2 linked regions of the Xenopus tropicalis genome follow. The protein of the gene in region 1 purifies or fractionates together with the protein of each later gene. This does not show direct contact. Links are inferred from orthologs where the notes say so. Each region holds a gene or a part of one and is shown in the gene's direction. Other genes may lie near its edges.

Region 1 (7,484 bases):
ATGTACATCTTTGGCTAATGGAAGCATATGCTCCCTAGGCAGCCACTGATGCGAATGGCAGTTCAGTCAGACAGCAGTGACGTGCATTTTGTACTGAAAATACCAATTTAGGTTTCCATCCAAACTATAACTTTCTAAGGTTCAAGGGTAAGATGACTTACCAAAGTTTCTTGGTATCAGATTCTGGCATAGAAGGGTGTAGTTTTACACAATCCTTTTATGCTGATAAGTTTAATTTATAAGAAATACACATAGGAAACTATTATTCACCTCAGTGCAGGAACATGAGAGAGTGAGAAGAACAAACACAGAAACGGGAAACAGGGGTCTGAATGGAACCAGAACCAATAAGCAATCACTTGCATCACACACAAGAAATTGCTTACCAACATATAGCAGAGAAAGCCTGGGAACTGTAGTATTCTTTATATGACATATGTAACTTAAACAGGTAGTGGATCTATTATTCAGAATGTGTGGGACCTGTTGGTTTTCCAGATCAGGGGTCTTTCCATAATTTTGATCAACATACTTAGTCTGCTCAAAATCATTTTAACATTAAATAAACCCAATAGGATGGTAATGGCCCCAAATATGGATTCATGCAGCTTTGTTACTATCAAGTATAAGGTACTGTGTTATTATTACAGAGAAAAGGAAATCATTTTTAAAAATTAGAAGTTTTTGTTTCAAATGGGCACTATGGGACATAACTTTCACATAAATTAAAACTTTCTGGCTAATGGGGTTCTAGATAAGGGATCCCTTATATGTAATATAATTCTGTGACAAAGATTCAACACAGCAGGATTGGTGACAGGGAGTTTTCTACCGGCAGAAATATACCCAGGGAACAACTCATATTTTAGGAGGTGCAACACATTTACTTAATTTGCTAATCTACTTTTTGTATTTCGGCACGTGGCACATAAATGCACCCATCAGTAAATACATGTTTACAGGAACCTGCTTGTACCTTTTCCTGGATGGACCTCAAATGCTTACTTTAGGAACTTAGGGAGCACTACAACATCCAATGGGTTACCGATTAGCAGTGCTATTGGGTCACCAAGCTGCACAATACAACCGTATAAAGACATTCTGACCTGTTTTGTTCCAGTGCATTTTGTTGTATGAGTTACTGGAATATTTGCTCATCCTAAAAAAGACTTCCAAAAATAAGTATGTAAAGGCCTACATAGCTTACATCTAGACCTGTCTAAATATGGGTATGCAGTTGGCTACTATATTAAGAATATTAAGAATATATGAAATTCTTGGTCATGCTAGGTACAGAAAATGATCTGTCTTGTTTATGTTGGCATAGAATATTGTTACCGAATGTAAGTACCGTTTCAAAACAACCATAATAAATGTCGGCTTGGTTTGCACTGAGTAGAAATTAGCATGTCCCACTTAAAGCTGTTTTTTTCCTGTTCTTTCAGTTTAAACATTATGTCAGCAAATTGAGATTCAAAAGCTCAGTCTATAAGAAAAAACGACAGGAGCTGGCAGAACTTAGTGCTGAGAATGGCGTCTTGCAGAGGACAGAGGAGATCTTGAAACAACGACATGAGAATATACAGCAACAGCTGGTAATGACAAACTCTGTGCCTTAAATAATCATCTGTTTACTCTCAAGGAATGGAGTGCAGATGTGTCTCTCTGGGGAAGCTACTGAATTTCTGTACATGAAAGCAGATCCATAAAAAAGGAAAAATGAAATGTCAGGCTTTATTATATATATATATATATATATATATACATATATATAATTAAAATGCTGAAGAACTTTCACTTACTAGTAATGGTAGTTAGTCTTTGGGATTACATATTATGTTCATTACATTAAGTCAGTGAGGAAAATACAGATGGAGTTTTCATGTTACTTCTTTCTATGGCAGCAAGGCACCACTTGGCTTTATTGTAGCCATGAAATTGTGTTATTTTAGAGAGATGGGATTAATAGTGAAATGGGCTCTTTGCAGTGTGATAAAAAGCCAAAGTGTTTTACATAGAAATTGGTTGTGCAGTAGCTTTTGGAGCGGATAAGACAAAGTACGGCACTCAAAAGTTGAAAAGAAGCCAAACACCTCTTAGAATACCGCACTGTACTACATGAAATTCCCAATCATATTAAGTGCTGTAAAACAACCTGCAATTTTATGCCCCTCTACACTATGTATTTAGGTTATTTTTCGGTTATTTGGTGCATAGTTTACAGCTGTTACCAAATTATTTTTCTATATCCTGATCCTCAAAATATAAAAATAAAATAAAGTGAGGTTAACAAAGCACTTCAGTTGGGTGACTTTAGAAAAGCATGCACAGGGTTCCAACTACAGGTATAGGACCAATTATCCAGAATGCTCAGGACCTGGGGTTTCCTGGATAAGGGGTCTTTCTGTAATTTGGATCTCCATACTGTAAGTCTATTAAAAAAGAATTTAAACATTAAATAACCCCAGTAGAAGTGTTCTGCCTCCAGTAAGGATTAATATCTTAGTTGGAATCAAGTAGAAGGTACTATTTCATTATTACAGAGAAAAAGGAAATGGGAGATGGCCTTCTCTTAATTCAGAACTGTCTGGATAACAGGTTTTCAGATAACTGATCCCATATCAGACTCCCAGAGGAACTCCCACTTTTAATTCTGCAGTGCAATATATATTTGAATACCTGCAATGTAACTCTTGGCTATAAGACAGAGCAGCAGTAGCTGCCAACCAGTCTGAGCTGCAGGCAAATATGAATAGTAACTGTGCTAGGTTTAGAAATCCCATAAATGGAACATCCTTTAATATTTCTTGAGATTAGAAACTTTGAAAAGGGCTGTGGCTATTTTCTTGAGACTGCAGTTTTTTTATTTTTGTATAGAAAAAGATGGTTTATTATTAAAGGAACAGTAACACCAAAAAATGAAAGTGTATAAAAGTAATTACAATATAATGTACTGTTGCCCTGTATTGCTACAACTGGTGTGTTTGCCTTAGAAAGACTACTATAGTTTATATAAGTAAGCTGGTGTAGCCATGGGGGCAGCCATTCAAAGGGGAAAAGGCACAGGTTACTTAGCAAATAACAGATAAACCCCCATTATATGGGGCTTATCTACTAGTTATCTGCTATGTAACCTGTGCCTTTTCTCCTTTTTTCCAGCTTAAATGGCTGCCCCCATGGCTAAACAGCAGCTTATATATACAGTAGCTTTTCTGTAGCAAAAACACAATTTTTTTGCAGAGCAACAGCACATTATATTTTAATTACTTTAAAACACTTTAATTTTTTGATGTTACTGTTCCTTTAAGGTGACAATTCTTAATGATGTTGCTCCAAATGAAGTTTGCAAGACAGTCAGAAGTGATGAGCGGATTTGTCCCTCGTCGCTGAATAATTCGCAAATATTTCAAAAGATTCGCAAAATGGTGAAAAATTTGTGAAATGGCAAAAATGTTGTGCGGGTCATTCTTAGATGGCAAAAAAAAATCTCGCAAATCCACACCTGGCCATCACTATTAGTCAGAAGTTATTGCTTGGTAAAGCCAAACAAAATAAGCAGAAATTCTACAGTTTAATAACTTACAGCTTTTGTGTTTACCATTTTAAATTAGTTTTACTACCCAAATCTAGCAAACCTTTAACACCAAACTACACTGTTAGATTGAATACTATGATCTGTCCTTCCATCCATTTCATCTCTTTGGAAATTAGGGATTTGTTTCATTTCTCTTTTAGGTGGAAAAAAATCAAATTCAATGTAATTTACTTAACAAAAACTGGATTTCTGAATGTATTTTGTTTCTTGCAGCAAGCAATTGAACAGAAAAAAGGTATTCTTGGGTACAGTGACACGCAGGAGGAATTGGAGAGGGTGTCAGCGTTGAAGAGTGAAGTGGATGAAATGAAAGGAAGGACTCTGGATGACATTTCTGATATGGTGATTTTGCAATACATGAATATATGTGTTATATTTCCTACTTACACATGTGTTTTATGGCTAATAACTGCACCATAGAATCGAATGTTATGCTTCATACACACAAAGAGATAACATTACAGGAAACTAACATGTTTTTAGAAACGTGGCATCTCTGTATTTACCAGTTGTGTTAAAGGGGTGGTTCACTTTCAGGTTAACTTTTAGTATGTTATAGAATGGCCTATTCTTAGAGACTTTCCAATTGGTTTTCATTTATTAGTTTTTGAATTATTTGCCTTCCTCTTCTCATTCTTTCCAGCTTTCAAATAGGGGTCACTGATCCCAGCAGCTAAAACTCTTTTCCTCTGTGAGGCTACAATTTTATTGTTGTTGTTACTCTTTATTACTTACTTTTTTTATTTAGGCCCTCCTTTATTGATATTCTTGTCTCTCTTTCAAATGATTGCCTGGTTGCTAGTTTAAATTGGACCCTAGCAACCAAAAAGCCTGCTGAAGTTCCAAACTGGAGAGCTGCTGAACAAAAATCTAAATAATTAAATTACTGCAAATAGTAAAAAATGAAAATCATTTGCAAATTGTCTCAGAATATCTCTGTCTACAAAGTTAATTTAAAGCTCAACAACCCCTTCATTATTATTATTATTCCATTTCCAAGCATTTCAGGCTGCAACTAGCCCCCTGCTGGACTATACACCTCACTTGGTCATTGTAAAGAAAATATAGTAATATAATGGTAACGTGGCATGTGACTTGAGCTGATGGTCTGAAAACCAAAACTGCAAGCAGCCTCAGTAAATCTTTTATAGATGCTAGGCGAATATAAAGCAATAGGTAAATGATTAGACTTTCTGCAGTTAATATAAAATTGGACATATACAATGGTATAATACAAAAATTACAATTTACAACTGAGAACCCTTCAGCTATATAGTCAGCAGACGAAGACACAGTAAAAATGATCTGACTACAGCAAGACAAGCATAGATCGAGGAGACCTTGTTTCAGTAATAACTGCTTTAAGTTTCCTATTTATTTGTTTTCTGACAGGTAAAGAAATTGAATTCCAGGATAGCAGAGAAAAAGTCAGGACTGGCTCCAGTTATTAAAGAGTTGAGACCATTACGTCAGAGATGCCAGGTCTGTGAAAAGACTGTAAATACCCTCTAATAAGTATATAGTTACATGTTTGTTCTCAGAATGTATACAGGTATGGGATCCATTATCCAGAAAGTTCCGAATTACGGAAAGACCATCTCCCATAGACTGCATTATAAGCAAACAATTCTAATTTTATAATTACATAGTAAGTTAGGTTGACGTACGTCCATCACGTTCAACCATAATGCCTATATATAACCTGTCTAACTTCTAGTTTTTATATGATCCCCTTATATATTTATACATAGTTATCATGTCACCGCTTAAGCGCCTTTTCTCCAGTGTAAACAGACCCAACTTGGCCAGTCTTTCTTCATAACTGAGACTTTCCATACCCTTTACCAACTTAGTTGCCCTTCTCTGGACCCTCAATAACTCAATCATGTCCCGTTTTAGCACTGGAGACCAGAACTGAACAGCATACCGTATATACTCGAGTACAAGCCGATTTTTTCAGCACTAAAAATGTGCTCAAAAAGTAACCCTCGGCTTATACTCGAGTATACCTCCCTCCACTTATGTCCGTCCTGCCGATCTTGATCTGAAGATATAAGGCGCTCGCACCCAACCCCCCCGCCCCCGTGGCTGGAGGTGAGTGCATGCGCGTGCGACACAGACATACGTCCGTCCACGGGGGGGGTAAAAGTACCCTGCAGCCTGCTAGTCCTGCCGACTCTATTCATCTGAAGATGTGACATGTAACGCTTTCGCTGGCCGTCCTGCCGACTCTATTCATCTGAAGATGTGACATGTAACGTGCTCGCTGGCAGACAGGCAGCATAGACCAGGCAGTACCTACAATGTCTGAGGTGTGAACAGGTGAACAATGTGGTTGATTACAGCCTGAGTCTGAGGTGTGAACACTGCAGGGGGTAAACAATGCAGAAACTAAAAGGTGTGAATAGTACAGGGGATTACATTTTTAAACAATACAGGTGGATTACAGCCTGAATCTGAGGTGAGAACCATGCAGGGAGCCAGTTAATCTCAGTACTGATACCATTTAAAGCTTACTCAAAGGTAAGCCATCAAAGCAGCCAGACAGGTGGGGGGCCACACAGAGGAGGGACGCCAGTTGGACAGCCCTGCTCTACACGATTCTGATGTAGGGGAGATGCTTTTGCACAGCCGCAGTGTAGTAGCCGCAGAAATGTGATTGCAGCCATTTTATTTTCAGTTTTTTTTTTATTAAATTGAATTTGATGGCTGTGGCCTTGAGTGAAAGTAGACAAGATGTAGTAAAACCTTCTTTTTTATTTTTGGACTTTTACTATTATAGGTGACAGTTTTTTCTCATGTGAAAACAGTTCAGAAGTCCAGATTTTTTTTTTTACTTGGCTCTACTGGGGCCATATTTTATACTTTCAACAATTCTGCTGTAAAAAAAATTCTTGTAAATAAAACTATATTAAAAAATGCTTACGCAAATAGGACAAATAGGGTATTTGATTTGAAAACAATCTCACAGGTGGGGAAAAAGCACTAAAAAATCTTGAACTATTTTAAAAAAAAATTATTATTGCGAGAAAAGTTTGACCCGTGTTAAAAATACCATTTGTAGTCAAAATCAAGCAAAAACAAAACAAAGCATGAAAACCATGAATAAATGAATCATTTATGTTCAGTGACGTATGGCTAAGGATCTGATAGGTCGAGTCTCATTGGTTGAGTACTTTTGAATCTTCCTCTTTTAGAATCATATACTTGGAGTTGGAGCAGTCTATTTTGAGCAAAAATATGTTATACAAATATGCTATAGGCTTGTTTATTACAAAATCAGTTAAATGCTTTAATCAAATGGGGATTAATATTTTGTAAAAATCACTGCCTGTACACAGGTCAAAACCTCCTCTCAGAGCAAAATTTTCAGTCTAGGTTAAAGGAGTAAAGCTGCAGAATGCAAAAATTTGTATTTCTTTTAACCAGCCTTCTGTTTGAAACAAACCTCTGCTTGTTTTTCATTAGGAACTGACTCAAGAACACGATGACAAGAAAGCTCAATATGACAGCTGTGCTGCCGGCCTAGAGAGTAACCGATCAAAATCAGAGCAGGTATAAACTAGGCAAAATGAATCATTTTTCACTGGGGCAAATTCTTAGCATTCAAGTTAGCCTTATCATTTTCAAAAATTCTGAAGTGATAGTACAGCCTCTTATTTTGTGATGAATAGGAAAATATACTTTACTGGTAGACATTATCCTTCATTTATTTTCTTTATGTGAACTGTAAAGCAAAAGACAATGCTCTGTGTTAATTCATATAAGCAAGAGCTAACACATTGCAAAAACATTAATTTAATGCTAGGAATCAAGAGAGAGGGAGCAAGATGTCCTTTTGCCAAGTTGCTTACAGTCAACCCAGTGAATGGAAAGATAGATAATGGGT
Region 2 (7,958 bases), about 40 Mb from region 1:
AATGTATGCCACTCCTGGAGAGGTTCTACCCAAATAAAAACACTCATCTGGTTCATCACATCTTGTGTATCTGGCTCTTTCCTGCACCAGGGATCACCTACTTGCCGGTAAGCAACTACCCCATGGGAGGGGCAAGGTGCCGGGAGTTGTGTGGAGTCCCTGAGAAAGGTTGCAGTGTAATATCAAGTTCCCAGGGTGGGAGTTATAGTCCCACAGCATTACCCCTGGGTGGAGGCACGCCAATAAGAGTGAAGACTCCCTGTTACCCCCATAGTAAGCAGGGGCTCAGGACTCCTGTAGCGCCAAAGTATAGCAAGTATATATATATATATATATATATATATATATATATATATATATATATATATATATACACACACACACACACACCTGTATACAGTTTATGATTAGTGCATAAAAACCAAAGTATGCCTTCAACAACATTGATGCTGAGTTTTAATATATGTAAGCATACACATTGACATATACCCACCAGATGCTTGTTTTTCACGCTCACTGCTCTAAAGGTCATACCTATTAAATGGGAACTATTGACCCTTTCTTATGATTCCATTTGCTTTGTCAGGTTTAGCTAACTGCACTAAATTTGGTCCTGTTGTTCTTACTAGTTAACTGTGTCAGAGTTCAAAAAGAAAATCCAAAAAAAAGGTTTGAGCTACAAATGATTATTATAGGATGGCACTGCACATGCTGTGATTGCCTTGCTTTTATTTACTGGCTTTACTGCATATGCACTAGTTTGTATAAAGCCATGTAGTGAACTAAATAATCTTCCCTGTTGCCGTTGAAGTACCGTCAGTTAACTTTTTTAATTTCTTTTTCAGAACACTATGTATTTGTTACATAGTATCTAGTGCAGTATACACTATTATTTTTTATTTTCGAATCAGTGGTCACCTTGCACAGCACAATGTCAGTAATCTGGCAGTGACATGGTTACATTAAAAAGACAATTTTTATGAAATATAACTTACTTTCTACTTACTATGTTTCATAAGCATTTAGTTTTCCTTAATGGGTTAATACTACCCCTTTCTTTTACGGGTTAATACCACATACTACAATGTACACAAGAATTTAAACCCATTGGCCCCAATACAATGTACACAAGAATTTAACCCCATTGGCCCCAATGCCAGATCCGGAAAATGTTGTTTTTAAAATATTCCCATCATATTAATAAGATATTAGTGCAGGTTGAAGAGATAGATACCAATACCTATGCTAACCATGTTGCATGGTTTAGTTTTGCTTTGGTTGTGACAAAAACAATTTGGAAGGCAATGCTAACTAAATAATATCTTAGGAGGTTACTGTTTATCTTCCCTGACAGAACATAATGAGAATAAAAGAAAGAATAAAGGGAATAGAGAATAATACTGATACGGAGAAGCACACATGAAAAATAATAGGCAAAATATATTTTAAAAGGCAATTAAAATGATGAAAGCAGAGAAGAAATGATATAGAAAGTAAAGGATAAGCAATGAGAAATATTGGTGAAGGGTCACCCTGGCTGAGGTCAATCCTAGGTACCTAGGGTACCTGACAATAGAACGCTTTATTGGTCCCATTACACTGGTGATCAAAAAGGAGGTGTAGCATAAGAACATCCCTGAGTCTAGTCTAGGTCAGTCAGTATCTCTGGGACGTCCTTGCTGCGTTATTTATACAAGCTGAGATGTAATCTTATGGCTGCATAATTTTGGCTTGAAATTCATCTGATGATGTTCTGAAAACACGGGGCGAACAATGAGTCAGTAGATGCTGAGAATATACAGTATTACTATAATCCGGCATATTAACCCCCACCCCCACAACTAGGTAATAGTTTGATTGAGACGCTCTCTCACCTGTCTGGTACCCAGAGGCGTGCGCTCCTGTCACGTGACACGGACACGAACCCCTCGCCCGGCCAAAGGGGGCAGCGCGCCACTCCCCGCACATCCAATTCGTGCCCCAGGAGGGAGCAGCGCAGCCGGTAACAGTTGTCACCGCCATCTCTTCCTGCCTGAGACATGACACAGCAGCCTGCTGCACCAGCACAGCCGGAAGTGATGAGACGGGACTCTGAATACTGGGCACCGGAGGAAGTGACGGCATTGCGCCCTCCCCAAGACCTCAGGTAGCCAGCAGTCAGTTAAAACACATAATGGTATCGGGACTGGTCATTCTTTACACATAGTCGTGTTTACAAACGCATACTAATCCTTGTCTCGAACTATGATCTAAGATATATTTATGGGAGCGATTAAGGTAAGCCGACACGCAGGCTACCTATGTACAGAAGCACCTGCACCATCAGTATATATACATCATGCTTGCCAGCCAACAAGCTGTGAGGAACCACAGCCCTTCTTGATTACGTCATTACGGACACGCCTGATTCATTCTCTCACGATACTTTTCCCATTCGTAGAACGTTGTTCGCCGGATAGCGTAAATCACGTGATTGAGTTGCTAAGCAACCGAGGTTCAGGCAGAAGCTGGGAAAGCGATTTATGCTGTATGTATATTTATAGTGTTTAAATAATTGTGTTGCTTTATTTACCTGTAATTAACGTGTGGGGTTATTAGGACTAACGCGTTTAAAGATTATAATTTTCTTTAAACAGTTTGGAAACAATTTTGAGAAAATATTCTGTTCTGTACAGCAAATAAAGCCAGTCGTATTTAATTTTGTGTAGGCAGTAGCAATTGTAGGGATCTGTGTTCACTGTTTGTCCGGGTGATACTGAAATGCAGCTCACAATACCTGAAACAGGATTGAGAAGTAGAACCATCCAAAAGAAAAGTTAAGGGGGAGTGTAATAAAAGGCACAAAGTTTGCAGTAACCCATAGCAACCATAAAGATGAGCAGTAAATAGTACCTGCTAACTGGTCACTTCAGGTGACTAGACCTGTAGCAAACCTTCCACCTATTTATTTATTAATATGAGTCGTATTGTGTAGCATAAAGTTGTTAGTTTTCTTTGTGGAATGGTTAGTATACACTAACTTCCATTGCATCTAGTCTAGAAATAATCTGGCAGGATTCCTGATTTTACTATAGATATTTTAGATTTGTCGTGGAGGCATGCTTTACAAAGTGGCAAACTTGCAACGAAGTTACAAGTTGCAAAGTATATTTTTGTCCAGTCGCATTCACAAATTTAAAAATCTTAAACACCTTTTTAGTACAGGATTTATGTCAGGGCATAGGGAAGAAGAGTACTTATTTATATATTAGCTAGTATGAGAGTTGTCTAACCTGACGTGAATATGACAATAAAAGTAATAATGGAAAGCACAAAGGAAATGCTGTGCTTGTGTTGAACTTTGTATGATTTGAGGATGTAGGTTTCTACAGCACTGGCACCCACCCTGACATTTTTATCTATGGTAACCACAATGGTGATATTGTATTACCTTTATACATTTTTTTTTTTATTTGTCTACAGTTGCTATGAAGTATTTGTTTAAACTTACCTCAGTACAAGCTGAGCTGCAATCACTGTACTTGCCCTTAAAATCCTTTGCTTAATTTTATTTAATCTTCACAGTCAACAATAAACATGGCTAACAATCAAAGACCACCATCAGCTCGACCTAGCACAAGAGGAGGCATTGGTCCCTTACAAAACAGACCACCAAGTGGAATGCGACCACCTCCTACTGCAAGCAGGCTGACAACAGCTGTAAGTAATTTAAAAATCTGTTTATATAATTGAATGTTAAAAGGGAAAAAAAAATGTAAATTTGCTTTTAAAGGTTAACCACTGTATATGCCATAATTGTTGTTGTATACATACATTTGTACAACAGGTTTTTATTATCTTGGGACCTTGTTTTTTCCATTTTTCTGTAATGTGGATGTCCATGCCTTAAGCTACTAAAAAACCTTTAAACATTAATGCTAGCTTTCTTAAAGAGGACCTATTATAAAAATCAAAATTTAATATCAGCTTCATCTCATGGAAATAATTAAGTTGCTCTCCAGTATTCCCCTTAGCAATATGTCTTTATTCAAGTAGAAATTAAAGTCAGATTTTGATTGACAGCTTTAATACTTCATCTTGATTGTGTTCCATTTGCCTGCAATGTATTAGAGCTAGCTGTCTTTTAATTATCTGTCAATCAAAATCTGATTATTATTTTATTGCAGAAAAGTAAGAACAGTACTGCAGTTTAAATGCTAAAGCTATATACATTCAAGGTTCAGAAATCAGATTTTTTTTTTGAAGATGATACCTGGCAGTGCACGACCTGGAACTAGAGGTGTTGTTCCCATGGGCACTGGAGGAGTTCTGTCAGCACAGATAAAAGTAGCAGACAGACCAGTCACCCAGCAGGGTCTGAGTGGAATGAAAACTGCAATGAAAGGTAGGTGCCTGTTCACAAAAAGTGAACAATTACTAAGGTGCAGGTGAATTCATTTTCGTGTATGCAGATGTATTGATTTTTTTTTTTTTTTACAATCACAATTTTTCAAACAATAAACATCTCCAAAAAATACACTGGTGCTTGCAGGCAATAGGAAAAATAATGCCTATATGAAATTGTATGCCTGTTGCAAGTATGCAAGTTTTCTATTTAATTTAAAGCTTAATTTTGTTTCTCAGGTCCCCAGAGACAGATTATGGACAAGTCTTACTTTCTGGGACTCCTAAGGTAAATTGACTAAGAAAAAAATTGCTTTAGTTTTTAAACATTTAAATATTTTTAGGTGAAAGTCCTGATTTTTCCATTTGCCTCAAAAAAAAATTTGCATCCATAACAATTGTATCTGAACGATTGCAGTGCTATGTTTGCATTTCCAACAGGTTCCAGGAGAAGGTAGCATAGGTCAGCATGTAAAAGGAACAAGAAGCCCACTTGAACACACTATTTTTGTAGCGGATCTATGCATAACTACAACTTGTAATTTGTGCAATGATGCATAGGTGCACAGCTTAGGATCCCACTGGATTTAGGATGCTCCTACATATGAAATCTTGACTTGTCCAGTGTGTTTTATGCTGTGCTTCTTTACTTGTCCAACTCTTGCTGGTGTAGTGTCCCTCATTCTTACTTCACCACATGCATTTAGTTTAAGGAGACATATCCTATAAAAATTATGAATGTACCAGTGAATTATACTTCTCTAGATATAGAAGGATTGTGCAAGGCTGTGAGTGGCTCTTCCCCTCTGTAAACTAGCGGGATCCAGGACAGACACTTTCTCGGCTTTAAGGCAGTTTATTTACACAGGGGTGCCCATTTCAGCATACAAAACAAATCATAAAAATAAATCCTGCGCTCTGGGCACTACCTTCACACATTACATTAGTTCCCTCACTAACCTGGGTCCCTTTTGGACTACCAGTAAGAAACCACAAATGTTGGGGTCACCCCTGTACTCACAACACTTCTGGGGGATTAGCTCAGCCTCCTGGCTTTCCTTTCAGCTCCTTAGACCCTCAGTCTCTTGGCAGCTTTCTCAAGTCTGGGCTCCCTCTGCTTCTGGCAGTGGCAGGCAGCACCCCCAGCCCCTCTGGGAGTCCTAACACAGAGAGGTATCCTTCCTGCTCTGTGCCCTGCTCTGAGAGACTGTCTCACACCTTTCTATACCATTAAATACCTTTTCCACAGGACAGCCTTCCTGTGGAAAGTATGCTCCAATAGGTGAGCTGGACTACTGGAATGGATCGCTTGATCCGCTTGTTCCTTCCTGAACCCTATAGCTTCCAGGGCCAGACAGCACAACCTTTTAAACAGAGCAAACCTTCTCTGTTTATCAACCTCTCTCCTAAAGGTTACATCTCCCACTATGGAGAACTTGAAGGGAAAGCTCACCTTTTCTCTCATTTGTTGGGTCACTCTACCACACCTCCTACAGTGCTTATGGCTGGGACCGTTAGAACACGCCCACCCTTTATTTCAAACACGGACAGAGAACTGATAGGCTCTATAGGGAGCTCCAATAAAGGGGCCATTTTTACAGATAGGATTCATTTTTAGCACAAAGTGAAACTAGCACCATATATTATTTATAATTGCCTAAAAAATTAGGGTCTGACTGGTAGATGTGCACATACTGAGAATCAGTGGTTATTCCTGAAAAACAAATTACTAATACTTTCATATTGACATATCTTTACCTGTTACCATTCATATGTAGTAAAATGAAAAGGATTTTTACAAATTTCCCCCTTAGACTTGCATGACATTAATACTAATTAACAAAGAATTGACAAATCAATTAAGTAGTAATCTAGCACTGCCCCTCAACTATAGCATCCCATTAAAAAAATTTGGATTCAGCTGCTCAAAGCAAAAAAGATTGATATAAAATACAGGTACCCTGAATAATAAACATGTTAATAACTGAAAATATGTATATTATAAAATAGTTTCTCCAACTAAAAAATATCATAACATGTATCAATATATTCTGATGTTCAAGATGGTATTATATTTCATGTGTGAATTTCATGCTGATGTATCAAAATATGATGTCTTTTATTAACAGGAGTAAAGTCAGCGAGCTTACCACAGAAATGACCAAACTGAAAAAAGAGATTGACACCTATAACCAGGAGAACTCTGTCTACCTGTCTTATGAGAAAAGGCAAGTTGCCTACTTTTTTTTACTGTAAAAATGAAATATGGCTTTTAAAGCAGTCATCAGTGCTTCAGTTGAACTGCAAACACATTTAAAGTATAATTTGTTAAATATTGTCAAACAAATCAAAAGGGTTGAGAAAACTGCCTCAAACGTATGTAAATAGACAAATGGGATTCTGGGAACTAATTCCACAAGGCTCTTAAAAAATCCCATTTACATGAACATGTCACTGAGAGTATTGGCCTTTCAGCATCGCTACAACCACCCACAAATGAATCCGAGTTGATTTCCATCCCGCTTCCCCTTTCAATCTGTACCGGGCCACCAGTTAGGGAAATCACAACCTCGGTGAAGCTCCAATTCACCAGTTACAGAGGGTACAGGGATTGAAAGTTCATACAACAGAAGAGAGGATGTCCGTCTACATAGATGATTTTCTTCTTTATTTGGAATACCTTAGAGCTGTTTTAGATATAGTGACCCAGAATTTTAGGGACTCAAGGTTAAGTAACTGGGGTAAGCATCTTGTATTCCCACTTAAACAGGACACCCAGGCCACTTTATCTGCAGATATCTACAACACCAGCAGACCTTGCCCCTATTAATTAAGATATATAAAATTATATTCTTACCTTCTAGGAAGGAGACAATGATATTAACATTTGTGGTACAGTTGCAGAAAGGGTCATAAACCTTCCTTCACTTTGCAATATTTTTACAGTATGCAGAGTGCTGCTCCTATCCCCAATACAAGTTTTCATTTAATGAAAAAGATGTATTCTCTGTATAAATTGAGTAACTTTACTAACATTGGGCCCAGTAAAGTAAATCATAGCAACCAATCGGCAATTAGGTACAGTAGAATAGTGAAACCACATTTATTTCATTATTACTGTTGCTTGTTTTGTAGTAAATGTCAGTAGTCAAAACTATTTTGTCCTTTTGCCTCTTTTTTTTTTTTTTTTTATGCGTAGGAATTTAAATGTATTGATAATGCTCTATATTTCTCTCGATTATCATGTAATCTAAATGTTTATTTTACTCTCTTTTTAGAGCTGAAGCCCTTGCTCTTGAAATCAAAGAACTGCAGGGGCAACTTGCAGACTACAATATGGTATTTTTCCTTCCTACATTCTGAAATTACTTTTTATTTTTTTGAAATTACTTTAATTTTTTGCTGTTTACAAACATAGTTATCAAATATTTAAGGTTAATTTAGTTTATTACAAATTAATTAATATAACTGCTTGCATAATCACAAACCCACCACTCCTGATTATTTGCCTGCTCAGAAAAAAACTCACTATTTACAACTTTAAATGCCTTGTTGTTTGTTCTTTTGTTGTTTTT

The links. Proteins that work in one complex are often made in the same cells at the same time.
Region 2: the proteins of ift81 (region 1) and ift74 purify together in Homo sapiens (affinity purification with mass spectrometry; 3 studies listed by BioGRID and IntAct, counting the BioPlex papers as one, with this or other methods). This does not show direct contact. The link is inferred for Xenopus tropicalis from reciprocal best matches to the Homo sapiens genes IFT81 and IFT74.

Annotation. Positions count from the first base shown.
Region 1 is NC_030677.2:162,599,646-162,607,129, forward strand, and holds part of ift81 (intraflagellar transport protein 81 homolog), read left to right. Parts: intron 1-1,445; coding exon 1,446-1,595; intron 1,596-3,808; coding exon 3,809-3,937; intron 3,938-4,987; coding exon 4,988-5,077; intron 5,078-7,063; coding exon 7,064-7,150; intron 7,151-7,484. UniProt on the Homo sapiens protein: Component of the intraflagellar transport (IFT) complex B: together with IFT74, forms a tubulin-binding module that specifically mediates transport of tubulin within the cilium. Binds tubulin via its CH (calponin-homology)-like region.
Region 2 is NC_030677.2:122,251,831-122,259,788, forward strand, and holds the start of ift74 (intraflagellar transport protein 74 homolog), read left to right. Parts: upstream 1-2,501; 5' UTR 2,502-2,527; intron 2,528-2,910; exon of another isoform or gene 2,911-3,001; coding exon of another isoform or gene 3,002-3,004; intron 3,005-3,564; coding exon of another isoform or gene 3,565-3,576; coding exon 3,577-3,699; intron 3,700-4,245; coding exon 4,246-4,384; intron 4,385-4,623; coding exon 4,624-4,672; intron 4,673-6,512; coding exon 6,513-6,611; intron 6,612-7,661; coding exon 7,662-7,722; intron 7,723-7,958. Other genes in the region: plaa (phospholipase A-2-activating protein), read right to left, coding at 1,875-2,041. UniProt on the Homo sapiens protein: Component of the intraflagellar transport (IFT) complex B: together with IFT81, forms a tubulin-binding module that specifically mediates transport of tubulin within the cilium. Binds beta-tubulin via its basic region. Required for ciliogenesis.